2 linked regions of the Caenorhabditis elegans genome follow. The protein of the gene in region 1 purifies or fractionates together with the protein of each later gene. This does not show direct contact. Each region holds a gene or a part of one and is shown on either strand. Other genes may lie near its edges. The genes, in order: sorf-2 and F17A2.13.

Evidence for each region.
Region 2: the proteins of sorf-2 (region 1) and F17A2.13 fractionate together in Caenorhabditis elegans (co-fractionation; one large-scale study listed by BioGRID). This does not show direct contact.

What each region holds. Positions count from the first base shown.
Region 1 is NC_003281.10:5,321,985-5,331,470, forward strand, and holds the start of sorf-2 (Suppressor of organelle fusion 2), read left to right. Parts: upstream 1-4,638; 5' UTR 4,639-4,646; coding exon 4,647-4,822; intron 4,823-5,236; coding exon 5,237-5,962; intron 5,963-6,233; coding exon 6,234-6,451; intron 6,452-6,540; coding exon 6,541-6,689; intron 6,690-6,789; coding exon 6,790-6,924; intron 6,925-7,312; coding exon 7,313-7,450; intron 7,451-7,496; coding exon 7,497-7,830; intron 7,831-7,874; coding exon 7,875-8,377; intron 8,378-8,543; coding exon 8,544-8,894; intron 8,895-9,114; coding exon 9,115-9,273; intron 9,274-9,486. Other genes in the region: F52C9.3 (uncharacterized protein), read left to right, coding at 1-94, 824-954, 1,006-1,130, 1,551-2,014, 3,206-3,480, 4,111-4,248. UniProt on the Caenorhabditis elegans protein: Together with sorf-1 negatively regulates the levels of phosphatidylinositol 3-phosphate (PtdIns3P) to enable the conversion of early endosomes to late endosomes.
Region 2 is NC_003284.9:12,317,435-12,326,920, reverse strand, and holds F17A2.13 (uncharacterized protein), read right to left. Parts: upstream 5,265-9,486; 5' UTR 5,256-5,264; coding exon 4,544-5,255; intron 4,400-4,543; coding exon 4,143-4,399; 3' UTR 3,928-4,142; downstream 1-3,927. Other genes in the region: srd-41 (Serpentine receptor class delta-41), read right to left, coding at 1-197; srd-40 (Serpentine receptor class delta-40), read right to left, coding at 1,489-1,661, 1,706-1,784, 1,942-2,020, 2,063-2,259, 2,309-2,446, 2,886-3,182; Homeobox protein ceh-40, read left to right, coding at 6,221-6,312, 6,982-7,261, 7,305-7,379, 7,425-7,676, 8,155-8,397, 8,634-8,681; xtr-2 (MX region of TRA-2 Related), read right to left, coding at 9,248-9,486.

The sequences.
Region 1 (9,486 bases):
GGTGCTGATTGGGTTTATAGATGGGATCGAAATCAGGGAATTCGTAAAGAATATGCAAAGATTGCTGTTAAATATGGAGAGACCACCGTTTCACGTTCGTTTTTCTGTTTAAATCTGCATTTTTATAGAGAAAAAATACCGAAAGTTGGTGAAAAATGAATAAAATTGAACAAAAAAAAGGATTTTAAATTTTTTAGTGAAAAAATTAAAAGATAGTAGAATTTTCTTTAAAAAAAAAAGAAAATAGAAGAACTTTTTTTAAAATTTTGTTGAAAAAAAAAGAAAAATATACTGGAAAATATTGCAAAAATAGCAAAACAATCGGAATTTTTTCAAAATTTTTTAGAAAAAAATTGTTAAAAAATGTTCAACTCCATACAAATTATTTGGGATTTTTTTTAATTTCAAAAATTTTTTAAAAGTTTTCAAAAAAATAAATATTATGTTATTTGAATTTTTCATTTGCACGAAAAAACCACTTTTGACATAATTTTAAAAAGTTTTTTGCCGAACAAAATTTCAAATTCTTAATTTAAAAAAATTAGATATTCTAAAAAATTAATTCTGCGTTTTTGGAAAGTTGCCAATATTTCGCTGAAATTTGAAAGTGAAATAATTAAAATAAATAAATAAAATTTATCTTTAAAAAAGATTTTCGAAAATGAAAATAATTCGGAGAGCAAAAAACTAAATTGCAAAATGTTGATTTTGAAAGAACGAGATATTAAAGAAAAATAAATATAAAAAATTCAGAAACTTAACAAGTCTTTAAAAATAAATCGGAAAAAACATCAAACAATTTCAAAAGTTTTCAAATTTTCAGCCGAAACACGTCCGAAACGAGTATTTGTTCTGGTGAATGTAGAAGGAAATTCACGTGGATGCTTTGATCAATTCAATAAAAATGCTCTTCCATTATTCCATCTTGCTGGGGTTCAGGTTGATGTTGTTAAGGTTTTTATTTTTGATTATTTTAATATTTAATAATTTTCCCGAAAATTATAGGCCGATAATCAAGCTCAATTGGAAGCTCTTGCCGGAGCAGTTGATACACAAGAAGCTGATATTCTATATGTTGTTGGAGGAGATGGAACAATTGGAACTGTTGTCACTGGCATTTTTAGAAATCGGTAGAGCAGTTAAAATTGAATTTATTTAATTTCCTGAAATTGTTTCCGGTTGTTTAACACGAATCAAGACACAAAATTCAAATTTTTGGAGACAAATTGATAGAAATTCTGAAAATTCTGGTCAAAACTATGTAGGCGCTATCGATAATGTGTGTTTTTATGGGAAACTTGAAAGCATAACAAATTGTGCGCAAAAATCGAAAAAAATTAATCTGGAAATTTATTTAAAAATTCTGAGGTTTTTCTCAATCTGGTTTCCTCCGAAGGCACTGTTTTTATTCAACTACTGAATTCAAAATTTGAAGTACGTGGCTGCGAAAAAGAAAGGTTTTGAATTATAATTTTTTTCAGAATTGTAAGAGTAAGAGCAAAATGACGGAAAACGGAAATTTTTTGGGGACAAAAAGTTCCATTTTTCAGAGAAAAAGCTCAACTACCCGTCGGTTTTTACCCTGGAGGTTATGATAATCTTTGGCTCAAACGAATGCTTCCATCTGTATTCGAAAACTCTGACGATGTTCGACATGCATGTGAAACTGCAATGGCTGTTATTGAAGATCAAAAGAAAAGTGTCTACGCATTCGAACTAACAACAGAAGGCTCCACGTTGGCTCCCGAATATGGACTCGGTGACGTCAGTGCTGGCTGGTTTCGACAAATCGAAGATACTCGCAAGAAATTCTGGTATTTCTCAATGGCCAAGAGACGGTGGGCTTATTTTTGGGAAATGCTTAAACGAGGCCCCGCCCCAATCGAATGCCACGTGGAATACGAGGAAACGTGTGCTGGATGTGAGAAATGCAGGCCTAAACCAATTATTGAGGCACCACAATGGAGATGGTGGCATGTACTTACTGGAACACCAAAATATAAAAATAATGATGGTATGGGAAATTTCAATGAATTTGCAACAAAAAAAATTGGATTTTTTTTGTAAAAATTTCAAATTTTTTAATTCGGGAAAATTTCGAATTTGAGAATTTTTGTAATGACAAAAAATTTTAAATTTTAATTTAAAAGAACAATTTTCGCTCAATTTTTGCTTAAAGGTGGAGTAGCGCCAGTGGGGAAATTGCTTTAAAACATGCCTATGATACCACAAGGACCGAATATCATGATAAAAAATTCAAAAAAATTTTCTAAATTTTATATGATTTTTTGAAAATTGAAAAATCTCAGTTTTTGCCTAATTTCTATTTGAATTACCGCCAATTGGATTTGTTCGATGGAGCGCGCTTGCACGTTTTTAAATTTATTTATTTTATTTTTTGTTATTTTCCACCGATTTTTAATGTTTTCGGTGTATTTTTGGTCGAATTTTAGAGAAAAAATCAAAATAAATGCAAATTTTCGATTAAAAAGCACGCTTACAGGCGTAAAAATGTAAATCAGTGAAATTAATTAATTCAGGTTTGAAATCGTTGAAAAAAGTTACTTTTACATTTTTACGCCTATAAGCGTGCTTTTTAATCGAAAATTTGCAATTATTTTGATTTTTTCTCTAAAATTCGACCAAAAATACACCGAAAACATTAAAAATCGGTGGAAAATAACAAAAAATAAAATAAATAAATTTAAAAACGTGCATGCGCGCTCCATCGAACAAATCCAATTGGCGGTAATTCAAATAGAAATTAGGCAAAAACTGAGATTTTTCAATTTTCAAAGAATCATATAAAATTTAGAAAATTTTTTTGAATTTTTTTATCATGATATTCGGTCATTGTGGTACCATAGGCATGTTTAAAAACTATTTCCCCACTGGCGCTACTCCACCTTTAATTTCTGAAAATTCATTGGAAATTGAATTTTAGAGAAAAATATATTTAACATTTTTTTCTTATTAAGAGAATTGATATTTGAAATTGAAATCTCTCCCAAATTTTCTACAGAATTGGGAAATACATTTAGATTTTTTAAAAAAAAGTTTTCAAATGTTAAAATTTAAATGTTTGCGAAAAAAAAACAACCCCAAGCATTCAATTTGAAAAAATTCGAATTACTAATTTTCTGGTACCAAGAGTTAAATTATTGCTCGAGTTTCGAGTTTTGAATCAAAATTTCTCAATTTTCAGGGCAAAAAGATTATACGGGAATAATCAACGAAAAATGCGGAGAAAAACATGAACTGGACACACACGGAGCTGAATTTCTTATCGAAAATGAACAAATGAGTGATTATTCACAGATTCGATTCAGAATGGGCGGTACGGATATTGGACGATTTGGAGTAATTTCTGATGGATTTAAACGATGTTCTGAAGGAATTGTTGGAAGAAGTACTGATGAAAAGTTTTATGGAACTGATTTCTTGGCAAATTCTGTTGCTTTTAAGATTTCTGCTCTACCGGTTAGTGTTTAAAATTCTTTAAAAAAATAGAACAGCGTTTTGAAATTTAATTTATTATTTTTTTCTTCTGAAAAACATTAATTTTGAGAAAAATGAGCAAAACTGATATTCAATAAAATTCTATATTTTTACTTTCGAGAAGCATAACAATTTAATTCTTAAAGTATAGAAAAAACTTCCAATTTAAAATCTCAGTGAAAATTTGATTTAGAAATTTCACTGTTTTTTGCAGAAAAAAAGTTACAAAAAAAATTAAAAATCTATTACATTTTTTAATGCCTCCTTTATTTTTAAGATTTTTCTGAATCAGTTAAATTTTTAAAACCCAGTGTCATTGACACAAAAAATTTTATTTTTAAACTTAAATAATTAAATTGTTAAGTTTCTCGAAAGTGAAAATATACAATTTTCGTGAAAATAAATGGTTTAAATATCAAGTTTTGAACATGATTATATCGATTCTTAATTTAAAAAATTTTGAGCATTTTTTTGTATTGTATAATCTTTTCTTGTCTAGCCAAAAACTGAATCTTTAAAAATTTAACTGATTGCTGATAAATATATTGAACTTTCTATAAAAAGTTTTCTGAAAAAAAAAACAATTCTTAATCTCATTTTTACCAATTTCAGTCCTACATTCATCGCCTCTACATCTCAAGTAACGCTACACCAAAAGATGCTGAACTCACGGATAGACAAATCACAATTCGTGGAACTCAGAAGAAATTGGACATTTTCCTGCCAACATCCATTCGCCTGGAACTTTAATGTCTTTTTATTCGATTTTTATCGATTTTTTAGGATTTAGTAAGAATTATTTGTTGACTCTCTTTTTGTTGTTTTTCTCTTTAAAAATAAGTATAAATAAAAAAGTTTTGTTTATTTATGTTTGCCCTGAAAATCGATACAACAATCATCATCTCGTTCCCGTCGAAATGTTTATTTTTGATTTTGGGTTACCAGAAAATTCAAAATTGACCTCCGCCTTCGGAAAGATCGATAATTGCAACGTTTTTGAATATTTCTCCATTGAATAATTCAGAATTTGTCGAGTTCATATTACTTTAATCTTAAAAGCGCGTGATCAATTCCTGTTGGGTCCCGCCACGTTTTAGGGAACTATAAAAATTTAATAATCATGATTTTATCGATTTTCAGACCCATATATGCCTGAGGAAGAGTTCGAATGGAACGAGTCAAAACTAAATGCTCTATCAGAAATTCTCACCCAATGGGCTCCACATGATGAACTGAAATTGGAAAATGTCATACTTGAGGCAAAAATGGCCTGGATTCACGAATCCACAGATGCTGTGGCACTCGAGAAAGAATTCGAAAAATTGTGAGCAAATTTATATTACCCAGATGCCAAATTCTGCAACTTTTGCTCCGATAATACTGTAACTGGCCTCGACACGACAAATAGTTATTAAAATTGTATGAACCTTTGAAGAGTACTGTAGCTTCAAATTCTCGTTGCGATTTTGCGTCGATTTTTCATAAATAGTTTTTAAATTTTCATGATATTTTTTCTTGAATAAAAATATATACATTTTTGAAAATTGGAAAAAATACTATAAGTTAAAAATCGATGAAAATTAAGCAACAACGAGAATTTGAGACTACAGAAATCTTTAAAGACGCGCCATGGCGCTCTATTTTTTTCATTGTCGAGACCAAGAAATTTGAAAACTGAACCATGTGCGATCCCGCTCCACTGAACTAATTATTATAAAGCTTATTCAAATTTTTGCAGACTCAACACCTCATTCGACCCTCTAATGGACTATGAAGAGCACCAACGAGTCAAAAATGGAGTGTGCTCACCGGCAAAAAGCACAAAATTGGATTGGATCACGAAATGGGCAAATATCGCAGAGAAGCTTTCAATTTCTCATATAAACTGCTCAAAAGCACCTCATAAGACAATAAATTTTCAACGTCTTCAAATTCTTCCAAATATGACTTCAATTCTAGCAATTGCTCATACAGAGGCAGATAATGTAATTTTGATTTATGGTCACACGAAAGAAGGAATCGATTTTCAAACTGTACTCCGACACTCGTACAGTAATATTCCTGATGGAAGCCTTCAGACAATCCATTTCCTCACTAAAAATCTACTCGACCTATATTCCCAATTATTCTCGAGAAAGATCACAGCTGAATTCAAAACCCGTCATTTCCGCTGTCTTCCAAGTTTCTGGCTTCAGTATGATGTTCTTGCTCCAATATTTGAGCAGTTTCGAGCTCCGCGAGCCCCCAGGATACCTCTTGATGAGGCAACGTCGAATTGGGCGAATAGAAAATGGGAAAACTATCAGTATCTGACATATTTGAATGATATCACTGGACGAGTTCGTGGAGAAGTACATAATCATCCGATTTTTCCGTGGGTGTGTGATTTTTCCGAGGAAAATGGCGGGTTTCGGCAATTAAATCGAACGAAATATCGGCTGTGCAAGGGAGATGATCAATTAAGGTACACAAATTTTTGGAAATCATAGTTTCAAAAAGTGTAAACTCGGCTACCAATATTTTACACGACCATGCCGATATTACTGTATATTAGTAATATCAGAATATATTTGTAGTGATACTGGAGCATCGTCGCAAATTAATTTTTTTTGAAGTTTCATTCATAAAACTTACTAAACTTACCATATACCAAAATTTTCCAACTCGAAGCCCCGGTCCCTTAGAAAACCCATAGTTTGGTAGAAATAAAACTTTGAAAAACTGAACCATTTTAGAGAAATGTACTCCCGTGAGCCATCGCATCACGTTCCCGAGCTGCTCTCAGACATTGGTTACATGGTCTACAGAGCCCGTGTGGAGCCTAAGGATAACCTATGCCGGCATGTACGACGGAAGTGGGTACCCGAAGAGTACCCATCGACGATGAGCAGAATGTACCAGTGGACTCCTGACGAGTGTATTCCAGAGTTTTATGATGATCCGTCGATTTTCAGTAAGACCACCTACCCAATCACGCTTTATTGAAAAAAAGTTCAATTGAGCGTATCAGCATCACGTTAGTTTTCAAACACCTACTTTTAGATTCTTGCCACCCGGATATGGCTGACCTCCGATTTCCCGAATTCGTGTCTTCCCCACAGGAATTCATTGAATGGCACCGGAAAATGCTGGAACACGAGGAAGTTTCCATGAACCTCCACAGATGGATCGACCTCGTTTTCGGATTTAATGTAACCACCGAAAAATGAGAAAAATACCACCGAAAAACAAAAAAAATAATGAGAAAAATACCACCGATACCACCGAAAAATGAGAAAAATTGCATTCCAGCTCGCCATCGACAATAGCAAGAACGCGCTGAATCTTCATCTATGCTTTGTGGAAAAGAATCGACGGGGGCTTCGGACAACGGGAATGGTTCAACTGTTCAATAGACCTCATCCGATAAGGATGCCGTTGAATTATGTATGTTACCTAGCGTTAGATTATAAATCTTATCAACCGGTATCTATACTTTTGGAGCTCTGAAAATCCCGATCAGCTTCTGAACTTCAGACTCTCCGGTGTCTTGTTGAAGTTCGGAATGTCTACTTCGTTTCTAGATACAAGTGGTGTAAAAGTCGGATCCTTGATAATGTAAGATCCAAGTATACATGATCCGATCCGTTCGGGTCATGGATCACGATCATCTCTTGCGTTCAGAAATCCTAGATCAACAGCCTGGGTTTCCATCTGATTGTTGCATTTGGAACAATCTGAAGATCTGACCCGACTTGGCATCTATTTTTGAAAGCTGAAACTTGCGATGCGTTCATCGTTTGACAAACTCAAATTATTTGTAATTCTATTTTAGGATCCGAAACTCGACAATTACCATTTGAAAATGGAGTCCTTCGGATTTGGTATGACTTCTGAACATCGCAAGGAACCCGAAGTTGAACCAGATGAGGATAGCCACTATCAGATCTACCAAAAGATCAAGAAAGTTCGGGTACTTTCCCATTCTAATCTATAAAATTTGGAATAATATATTCTAGCGTCTCCGCCACAATACATATTTCTCATCAATGGTATCAGCAATGGAAGTGATGGCGCAGATAGTGTTGGCACCGCATCTGGCAGGACGATTTGATGATCCTGATCACATTCGACGATGCATCCAACTCTATTCCTATCGGATTCCTGCAAACTATCGGAGACTCTTTGATTTTCTGTTCAATACAGAGCAAGACTTTCCAGATTGTGATGAATTCTCGTTTTTCGTTTCTGTTCGACTCAACATTCCGACTAAGATCTTAAACTTTTCTGAAGAGTTTGGCAAATGTGTATCCCTGCATATCCTGAGAAAGTTGGACGTGATTCCGCCTTTCTGTAATTTAGTTCATTGAATTTTCAGCTAAATATAAAATTTCCAGCCAAACGATCCCAGTTAATCATTCTGAAAGAAGTGGAAAGTCTAAAGAAATCAATTAGACTTTGCGACCACATGGAACAATGTGTAGTGGCGGCATTCCAGCAGCTACTCGAAGACGAAGAAGCATGCATTCAATCCGTACATCGACTTATGCCAGTGATCACGAGAAGCTTAAGCCAATCCGCACTGGAAGATCTGATCAATCCGATGATCGAGCTGATTCAATGTGAAACTTCAGTAAAGCTTCTTGATCGTCGTTTTCTGATGCACGTATCAATTTGCTACGGAACTCACACCTTCCTCGACCTTTTCCTTCCACCGATCGTTGAAGCGTGCGCATCCATGAATTGTGATAGATCAGTGGTGGCAAAGGAAAGCATCATGTGGCTCGCGAAACGATATGGTCCGGTGATCTGCGCAAAGTTCATCTCGTCGAATGTTTTGAGGATCATGGCGAGTTGTTACGAGGCATTTGAGATGGTTGGGTTGGAGCAGCAACCAAAGGTAGGAAAATTTCAAAATTCTGCAGTACCGAAAATCCCCAATCTTGCAGCTCTAGTTAATTAGCTTGCAGCTCTAATAGGGGTTGAAAGATTATTTGTTTTTTAGGATTTTAACTTTTACGACCAGAGGATATATCTATAAACTTAAAATCAAATAATATTTTCAGGCTGTATTCAACGTAGTTCTACAAGGTGACGAAACATGCTCTCGCATCGAATCCCTCCTCTCCGAGATTGTCCTAACCTACAGTGTGACATTCATCACCGTCCAATTTCTCCCGTTTTGTGTTGACTTGATTGAGCAGTTCCACAAACGATCGTCTGTACAGCTGGAGCCGGGACTGGTGTCTGTTTTCCGGATTGTTGAGCTCTCCATCCGATCCATGTCAGATCATCAGCTAATGAACTATCTTGAGGAGTTCATCATCCAGAAAGTGATCTATCGAGTACTCACTATTCTGCTGGACGCTAGTTTTCAATTTTCTTCCATGAGAGTTCGAATTATCATTATTTGCAAGGTCATTACTTACAGTTAACTACAATACCTCCTCTACTTTGCAAGTTCATATCTCGGTTCATTTTGAAAATGTTGGTAAATTCCCAACTGCAAAAACAACCATCCAAATTTTTGTAGCCAACAGTTGTTTTTATGGTTGATAAAACCAAAGACAATCGAGATACGGGGTGACAATGCTAATATGGAATGTATATGAAATTATAAACCAAACTATATTTTAGGTCTGCCAACTTCTTCATTCGATAACCCAGAAGATCGGAACCGAGAACACGCGGATCTACGCTAATCAACCCTTCAAACTTATGTTCTCCACATTCAGTGAGATCTATGAAACCGACGAAGAGCTGAGGATCAATCTCAGGAAAAGACCTTCGGAAAATGTAATCAATTTTTTTACACAAAATGAATCTTTCATGATTAGTTAATCCTAAAGCTAAAGCTAGCTAACATGTCTGTTGAAACGATTAATATTTCCAAATTGACCCTACAGTACCCCTATCGTACTATCCAAACAGCCTACTGAATAGCACCGGTAGAGGTATACCTCCTATAGGCCTCTAGGTTAATAAAGATGTAGTCGCTAAAAATTCTGA
Region 2 (9,486 bases), on another chromosome or scaffold:
TGCATCAAGTAGCAAGCAGATACGTGGATTACTTGAAAAACGCAAGTGTTCACTAGTATATACCGCAGTGTTTGTAACTGTTTTGGAGTGTAGTTCAAAATGAAATAAATCACAAATAATTGACTAATCAGTGACGTGATAAGAAAAAATGGATAGAACACTTCTAGAAATTGCCGATAATCTTCACTAGAGGGCATGACTGTGCATTGAAAAACTGAAAGCAGATTTATAATCAAATAGACCAAAGTAAATATAAGTTATGATACAGAGGCGATGGAAAAATGACTGGGTAATGGTTGGCTGAAATTTTCAAACGACTAATTGCATACTAAGTACCAACTTCCTTCATGACGTTTACATGTTATACATAGAAAAGAATTCAAAAAATAATTTTTTCATACGCAATTTTCAAAGTAAAAGATAACTACGTCTTTCTAATGAACCATACAATTCCACGTTATGCGACTCAAAATTGGACAATGATAATCTTTGAACTATACTTGCCATTAAGATCAAAGTTTAACTAGCATCAAATAAACACACTAAAGCGTGGAGTGGCACAAATGGGGATTTTATCAAAATACACTTATAATAGGCCAACATGATCAAATGCAATATCAAAACAATATAAAAACAATACCGTTTTTAGAAAACTTTAATAAAAAATTGAGTGAGTCTACCTGTGTTACTATCAACTAAATCATGGCTACCAATTAAACTATTTTATCATTTTAGTCATTAAAATTTCTCGATGGAAAAAATGTTTAAATAGCAAATACGTGCCTGTCATGAGTCTCAAGAAATGGCAGGCCTGATACTACTACAATTTTGTGAACAAGGAATACAACATAGATTTCTGTCAGAAGTCAATTCTACAATGAAAAACTTGACTGTTTTAAATTTTTATTTTGGGTGAACATTGTGTTATGACAGACCAATTAAATGTAAAACATGATTAAAATGTAAGTCATAACAATATCCCATTTTCTTTAAAAACAATATATCTTTTGTTCCTTGTTGTTAGTGAGAAGCTTAAAAATAAATCTATCTGAGACCTTTTTCGGAAATACTTTATTACTTTTACTGACAAAGAAAAATGTTAACGCTGGTTAGTATATAGAATAAAATAATAAAGTAAGTAATTAGTACAAAAATCTAATACTCCCTTTTTTATATTAGTTGTCTCTGACATAATTTTCAGTAACAATCTTTATTTTCAAACATTCTACAAATAAACTCTATAAGCACTTAATTTTCATATTTATTTGCTCATATTAGAAACAGGGCTTTTAAGATAGGACAATCTATTTTGTCATAACAAAAATGGAACAGAAATATCTGTCTAAAACTGACAATTTTCATTATTATTTCCGCATTGAATCAATTCTATGCGTAAATAGAGTTTCATAAATTGTGTTGCTAAGGGCAAGCAACATCTATAATTAGAAAACTTTTTTCGCAGACATGTTGCTCTCAGAAGAGCAAGGATTACTTGACAAGCGATGTGACTGGTAGCACTTTTGATTCTTTCTCAATTCTCATCCAAATTTTTAGTCGTCTTCTATAAGGCGTCACAAAATACAAAGTCAGCATTGGATCAAAAAAAGCTGGCAAGCAAGGGACCACTGTCATAAAATATTGTTGAAATAGTATTTCTGTATCTGAAACCGAACATTTTGAAGTTTTCATGGAATGATTTAATTACGAGTTAAAATGCAATAGAAGTAGAGACCAAATACTGGCACATAAAATATGAGCGGAAGAAATGCTTGAATTGTAAGTCCCTGAAAAATTTTAGGTGATTTTCAATGCCATCATTCCTCTATTAATCTTGCAATTTTGGAACTTTTAAGATAACTACGTGGACACAAAAAGTGTAAGCACACAAATAACGAAACTGTTAAGAAAAAATATTTAACTGTCATTTCTGGGCGCACCTACTTTCACAAAAACTTGAATTTGAGACTTTTTCCATTTCGAATGTTGATAAAACTGTGAATTGATACGTCGTAAAATTTTCCTGAAAGAGCCTATTTTCGATTGAAAATACTGAACTACTCACTCTCGAAAAAAGAAGCTAATGAACGGAGAGGCTACTACAGATCCAGAAATTAACAGAAAATTTATTAGACTTGGTACTGTTTTCAGGCTAAGCGCTCCAACGATTGAGTACTCTTCGGCGTTTGCATTGAGAAACTTGTACTGTTCTCTGATTTCATTTGGCAACGACTGATTTATCACCATTATCACTTCCATAACCTGAAAATATTAATCGTTTTTTGTTTTCAATAGAACTTCTGATTCAAACCATTGATGCTATTATTGGCATGTGAAAGAGTAAAATAATACCAGTAACTCGACTTTTTGAAAATTCAATTTGTCGAACCAATTCATATTTGAAAACGAATGTTATTAAAATAGACATGCCACTCATAAATGCGGAAGTCTGAGTAAAGATTAATTGGATGAAACTAAATTATTGAGTTCAACAAGATCTATTGGTCAAAAATTCAAACTCTTAAGATTATACGGTAAAACAAAAAAAAGAGGTATTGTTCATAATTGCACACAATTCGTCTTCGAATTTTCTTCCAGAAGATACCTAGTATTTCTCCAACAAATAAATCATGACATTGAGAACTTTTGGTTTTCATTTTGAATTTTTTACATTGTAATCTAGGTAACTGATAATATTGACAATTTTTTTAATACACTAGTTTAAGTTATGTTTTTTTGTTTTAAAAATACAAAAACATATATATATATTTCAATAGCAGTTAACTTACTCAAAATGTATTCAAAAGATTTTATTTTCCAAACATTTCAAAATTTTAATGCTTAAGATGTATAATATGTTTTTCCAAACTCACACTCAGAAAACTCACTTGTAAAACTTGATACATTGTATAACCCAGCCACGCTTCCAAATATCTTAACAGTCCGTAACTTCTCAGTTCAATAGGAATAGCAGTTGTAATCATTCGAAACTGAGATGAACAAGAAACAACGACTAGGATAATTTGGAAAAGACTTGTGTTTAACAAGAATACTTTTAACATTTTTAGATGTGTTGGGGAGTGGTAAAAAATTAAATAAATTAACATCAACTGTGTTATTGTTGAAAAAATGAAGAAAATAGGGTAGAAGATATAAAGCACATCCCGATAAATATCCGCTCCCATTCTGAAAATTATATATGATTTGAAACGCTGCATATAAATTGTTCACGAGGTTAAGTTGATATTCAGTTTGATTGAATTTCAGTAAATAAGATCAGAAAATGGAAACGTTGCTTTTAGCGGGTTACAAAATGAAAACAGGGCGTTTCGTAGCAGATGTTTTTGAAGAAATATGTTTTTTTGTCCAATTCTGAAAAGTGGCATTTCCAATAATGACGTGAAATCTTAGAATAATATTTGAACATTTAATCAGGAATTTCAACCAACTACGACAACCTGAGCAACAAAAAGATGGAAATTAAAAAATAAGTAGAAACCCGGTTTTCGTCCGCTGGAAAGCGCGGAACATTATCATTTCAAACGATTAATATTCAAAATAAATTATCAGGCACTTAATTTTTTTTTTTTCAATTTTGCAGAACCAATTTCGAGAATTTAGATTTATGAACATTTTGTGGTTAAATTGTTGCGCGAAACGTGCCTAAATTGTGTCTGAATGCTTTTTCAATTTGTTGTTGTGAATAGCCTTAAGTAGGTTCAGTGTTCAGTGGAAATTTATCAAATATCAAAGATTTTAGATGTTAGGCAATTAATATCAAAAGTCAACATAGATCACTATATATAATAGAATTCAGCTCATCCCTTTTTCTGTATTATGCCCAATAATATATTCATTATTGTTTTTATTTTGTCCACACATTTATGACAAGTTTGACTAACTATTGACAAATACTATCCAAATTTAATTACTGACTATGATTGTTTATTAAAACTTTACCATGAATTGGCAATTCAAAACATGTTTTAAAACGAAAAAAAAAAGAAAATATTGAAGGATCAAAAGGAAAACAAAAAAACAATGTGAAACAACGAGATTCAGGTAGACATTAAAACTTCAGAAATTTGACAAGAAGTAGGCGGTGGAATAGCTAAAGATTAAAAAAGACTATGTCAAAATATCCACTAACAGTTTTGACTTTGCAACTTTTTATGGTACTTGGCAGCAACGTATTCCTCGTGAATCGATAATGACTTCTCATCGACATCATCAAGAAGATCAAAAAGAGCACAGCACAGTGCATCCATTTCTTTGTTTACTCCCTTCTTGCAATTTTCATAGATTGTCTTGAGAACATTTACGCGTTCATCGTGTGGTGCAATGATCGAATTCAATGTGTCCAAGCGCATCTGTGAAACCGATGCCGCAATTGATCGGAGTGCTGAAAATTAAACAATATTAGTGATAATTAGACACTGCTCTAAACGAAATATAAATTTTGCTTGCATGTTGATAAACAGTTCCGCTTGCCATTAAACATCAGTTTCTCTAATAAAATTTATGTTCAAAATTTAGAAATGCTTACTCTCTGATTTCCACTTGAAGTATGCTTCAAACTTGTGGTGAACTTGAGATCTCGCCAATTTGCAGTAGTACAGTTCGTTTACGAAGTTGCTATTCTCAGGTTCTGGTTTTTCCGTCTTACTGAGAGACGATGAAGCGGAGCAATGAGAGCTCTCCGATGAGCATGACGACACTGACGATTCTTGTTTTCTTCTTGACATGATTCTCGTCTCACGACGAGCTGGAGATCTACTCTCCACATCGAGATTGTCTTTTTTGATGTGAGACTTGATAATCGTTAGGCCAGAAAATTGGCGGGACAAAGATCGGAGAATGGGGGTCTCGACTAGTTCCTTTGCTTCGTTCTCGTTTTCATAGAACACCTCGTCGTTTTCATTTTTAGCATTCTCCTGCTCGTCAAAATTTTCTTGAACATCTGCCTTTTCTTCTTCTTCTTCATTTTGGCTCTGTTTCAGAAAAGACTCCTTCCTGAACACAGGACCATCGCACACATCTTCTCCTTGCTCTTCTTTTTCGGTCTCATCAACAGTCTCATCGTCAGTTCCGCCACTTTCAAACTTCTGCACCAATCTGCTCACTTTTCGGAGGCTATTTAAAGTTTCATCATGAAAGGCTGACTTCTTTTTATCTTTGTTCGGGGTAAACATGATATCCTCCATCGCTTGCCTATAGATTCCAGCGTTGGAGTAGGAGAAGTCATTGCAACACGACATTGTTGTACTGAAATTTAAAAAAAATTATAGGTATTGTATAACCAGTTGAAAAATTGAGAACGTTAAAAAAATGTGGAACAAAAGAGTAAGATTGAAAAAAAAAAGTCCAAACAGTTGTTTTCGAGACGGAGAATAATTGAGAGTGTAAACAGAAGACCATTCGTTCAAATACAAAATGAAGAAAACGAGGAATTAGATATTTTTACACTTATTTATATCGATCGATATTGCTAACGCGACATTAGACTCTCATCCCACTCCTTTCCCGACTCTTCAACCCATAAATCGTCAGAGGAAAACAACATGTAGCAATGGGAACATTGACACCCTTCCAAGTTTGGCAGATAATCTTTGTTGACTGCAAAACTAATAACTAAAAACTGCAGCTTAACAGTGAAATCAGAAAAAATTGCACCATTTAATTTTGTTCTGTTGTTTCTACAGGCTTCTTCAAAAAAGTGACTGTCCACTATCTTCAGATTTAATTGAAAAAAAGCATAATTCAAATTTGGTTACTATATAACGCAACTTTGCTTCTGAGAAAAAAACAATAAAAAATGCATTAACTTGTAAGATTGAGAACACAAAAAAAAACGATTAGGCAACATTAAGAGCAAGAAAGAGGAGAACAATGGGCGAATAATCCAATATGTGGGAAACGGCATCTGTTGCAACTCATATCGTGACTGAATATCGGCTGACCTTCCCATCTCACCGCACAGTTGCGCTCATTACGCAACGAACGCTTGCACACAAAAAAGTATTCGATTGACTCGCCCAAACTGCGCACATCATTTACAACCACTTGCGTTGCGTGCACCGATACTGTCTGTCAACCACAATTTGTCTTTATTCTTGACAACGTTACGTTTTTACCCCACCTCTCGCTAATGTGTCCGTCTCATCAACATTTTATCTCCAATACGTTTCCTGTCATTTATCATTAATTCTGGTTTATTGTAGACATGAGTGAGGCGTCAAAATCGATTATGGATCTGCTGTCAGAAGTTGTCAAAATTACCGACATGACTATGGATAATGAAGCTGTCAATAAATTGTGAGTTAGATTTTTGCTTATGTGCTGCCATAAATCGAAGTTTTCAAAAAAAAAAATCAACAATCGTTATGTGATGGTTTGCGCTTGTTTTTTCTGATATTCCTATAATAAAAATTCTCAATATTGTTTCATGGGCGTGTTGATGATATAAGTATTCAAATCAAAATTATTAATAAGTTTCAAAATTTTGGTCAATGTTTATAGATGTTGATAACAAATGTTCATTCATACTTAAAATACTTTGATTAGTTTACGACTCAAGAAAAAATAATGACAAGATATGCTTTTAAGCAAAGTTTCGTAAAACATCAAATGTTTAATTTTTTTGATCAGCTTTTGTAGGCAATAGCCTGTCTCTAATTTCTTTATTTGAACAGTACCGCTCCTTAAAACATTGCTCTAGTTCAACTATCATCACAAACTTCTTGAAAACTATTTTTTGGAAAAACTTTCTTAAGCAAACTCTCCGCTGGAGTGCTTATGTTTTTCTTTCAACTTCAGTATTTATCATAATATTGTTTTGGTAACTATACATTTATGGAGAAGTTGCGATAAGATGAAAACCAACACTAGAGATTACTATCAAGATACAAAAAAGAAAAGAGGATATTCACTTCCTCCTGAAAATAAAAAATAAAAAATTGTCAAAAGTATTTATGAATTTTTCAGAAAACCACAAATCAAGATCAATCCATTCTACCGAGCCGTACAAGATGTTCTAGTTGAGCAGAAGTCCAAAATCGACCTATCGACAAAGATGATGAAGGATCTTGAAGCACAAGAGAATGATGAACGGCTGGATACCATGCTCAAAGCAGAAGGAGTTGCTGGACCCGATGATAGTTTGTTGCGTATTCAGGAAGCTGCTGGAACTGACCAATACGAGTATCGTCAACAACTTTTGAAAGTGAGACGAGAGCTTGAAAATGAGACAAAAGCGTTTGACAAGGTAAGATCGTCTCATATATCACCAACCAATATACAAATTTCAGCACTGCAAAAAGTGGTGTGAGTACGTTGAAGATGTTCTCCAGCAACAAGGAGAATTCCGTCCAATCACCCAACAGGTAAGCCATAAATCTACCGGTGAAAAGATTAAACCAATTTTTCAGTCAACCGAAAAGTTTATGAACAAGATGTCCGGTAAATTTAACAAGGTCTGTTTTGTACTAAAACAGACTGCCTGCGAAGAAGTTATCCAACTGAAAAAGCGTTATCTGGATGCTCGTCGAAAGAGAAGAAATTTCTCGAAAACTTCCACCGAGATTCTCAACGAGTACTTCCTAGCAAACATCAATCATCCATACCCGTCGGAAGAGGTCAAACAGGCCTTAGCTATGCAATGTAACATTAGTGTTGCTCAGGTAAAATTGAAAATACAAAATTACATACTAAAAAATATGCATAAAAAACTTTTGAAGAATATTACGATTTGCATGAAGATAATATTGATAAGGCCTAAATTAAAAGCTCGCTAAAATGCGCCATCATCACCATTTGCGTCAGCTGTCTCCTATTAATATTTGCGCGGGAGTTTTGAATAGGAAATGTTGAAACGGTGTTCAGAATTAACGAATGCTTTAGTAGTTTCTAGAAAATGGGAAGTAAGGTTTTCTAAAAGAAACGCAAAACTAGTTCATTATTCTTTGGAATATAATTGTGGTTACATAAAATAATCGCTGTTCTATAGACACGAACCTAAAAATTATGCAACTTTTTTAAAAACTATTTTTGTCACTGTCAATATTGTCAGTGTTTCTTAACACTCTATCACTCTATTTGAAAAAATTTAGTCCCAGATATCTGCATACAATCTTACAGTAGTTTACAGTTTATTTTCAGGTATCAAACTGGTTTGGAAATAAGCGAATTCGCTACAAGAAAACAATGGCTAAGAATGAGGATGAAAGAAGAGAAAACAGAAAACCAGAAGATCGCCCTCCGCCTGGAGCTCCTGGAGCTCCGTATAGTCTGGTACCCAACGCGTTTGCAGGAATGATGAACCCATATCAGATGATGTTACCTGGTCATCAATTTCCCATCGGTGTTGCCCCTTTCAATTTTTCCATGTACAATCCTGAGATGGTAAGTTTTCATTTCAAATACTGTGAACTTGCAAAAATAGAGCAATATATGTAGTTTGTTTCAAAACCCGGATTTTTGTTAAACTTGAAAAAAAACTCGTTCTTGGATACATCAAATTCTGGAAACGATGTACTCCAAGTTGCGAGCAGCTGGAAAAGTTGAGAAACTAGGTTTTTTCTTACTGCCAGATTTTGAAATCATGCATATTCCGAAAAAAACAGTTTTCTCATTTTCAGATGGCCCAATATCAACAGTCTCTACAAAACCCAAATCAAACTCGATGACAAACTTTAATAATGCTGGTACTGAGTACTCATTCATACATTTGCCATGATGTTATAAAGTAATAAATTCATTGAAATACATCCTGTGTTCCATAAGATGTATTACTTTTTTAAGAAATTTATTTGATACTGACCAATGTTTTTGGCTGCAAAATGCAACATCACAATTTTTAGACAAGGGCTTACAATATAAATGAGGTAACAAGAACAACATAACTATTCACAGAACAGGAGATTTTCCTGAAGCGTTTTTAAAAATGTTGAGAAAGTGGTGATATTGAAAAAAAAGTTGAAATTAATTAAGTTTTTAAGAACTCAGGCCAGTTATATCCATAACAAGTAGTAGTATGAAATTTTGGTGGAACTGCGAAAATAACATGCTGAAATTGGAAACTAATGTAAAATTATATTATCTAGCGGTTAGAAACAAAATGGTGAAATGAAAATCTATGACAACCATGAAGTGGAGAGGTATTGAAAATGATCCGAAGTATAGGGAATTGATTTGGTCTGATATGATCCTATTTAAACATTTCCACATTTTGCTGAATACTTTGATATTTTGATTACTGCCTACGTGGTCCATTGGGCACAAGAACTCCGGGAGGAACATCAACTGTTCGCTCGGTCCAAAAACGATCTTCGGAATATTCGATCATCGCGTAACTGAACGCTGGTGGGTACAAATGGGCTTTTGGATGCTTCTCTGGGCAGTTTCGGGTGAGCTCAAGAACTTCTTCTATTATGGGAGGTTCGGTTTTGTAGTCCCGTGGAACATTTCTGACGAAAGTTCGGTCATCATTGT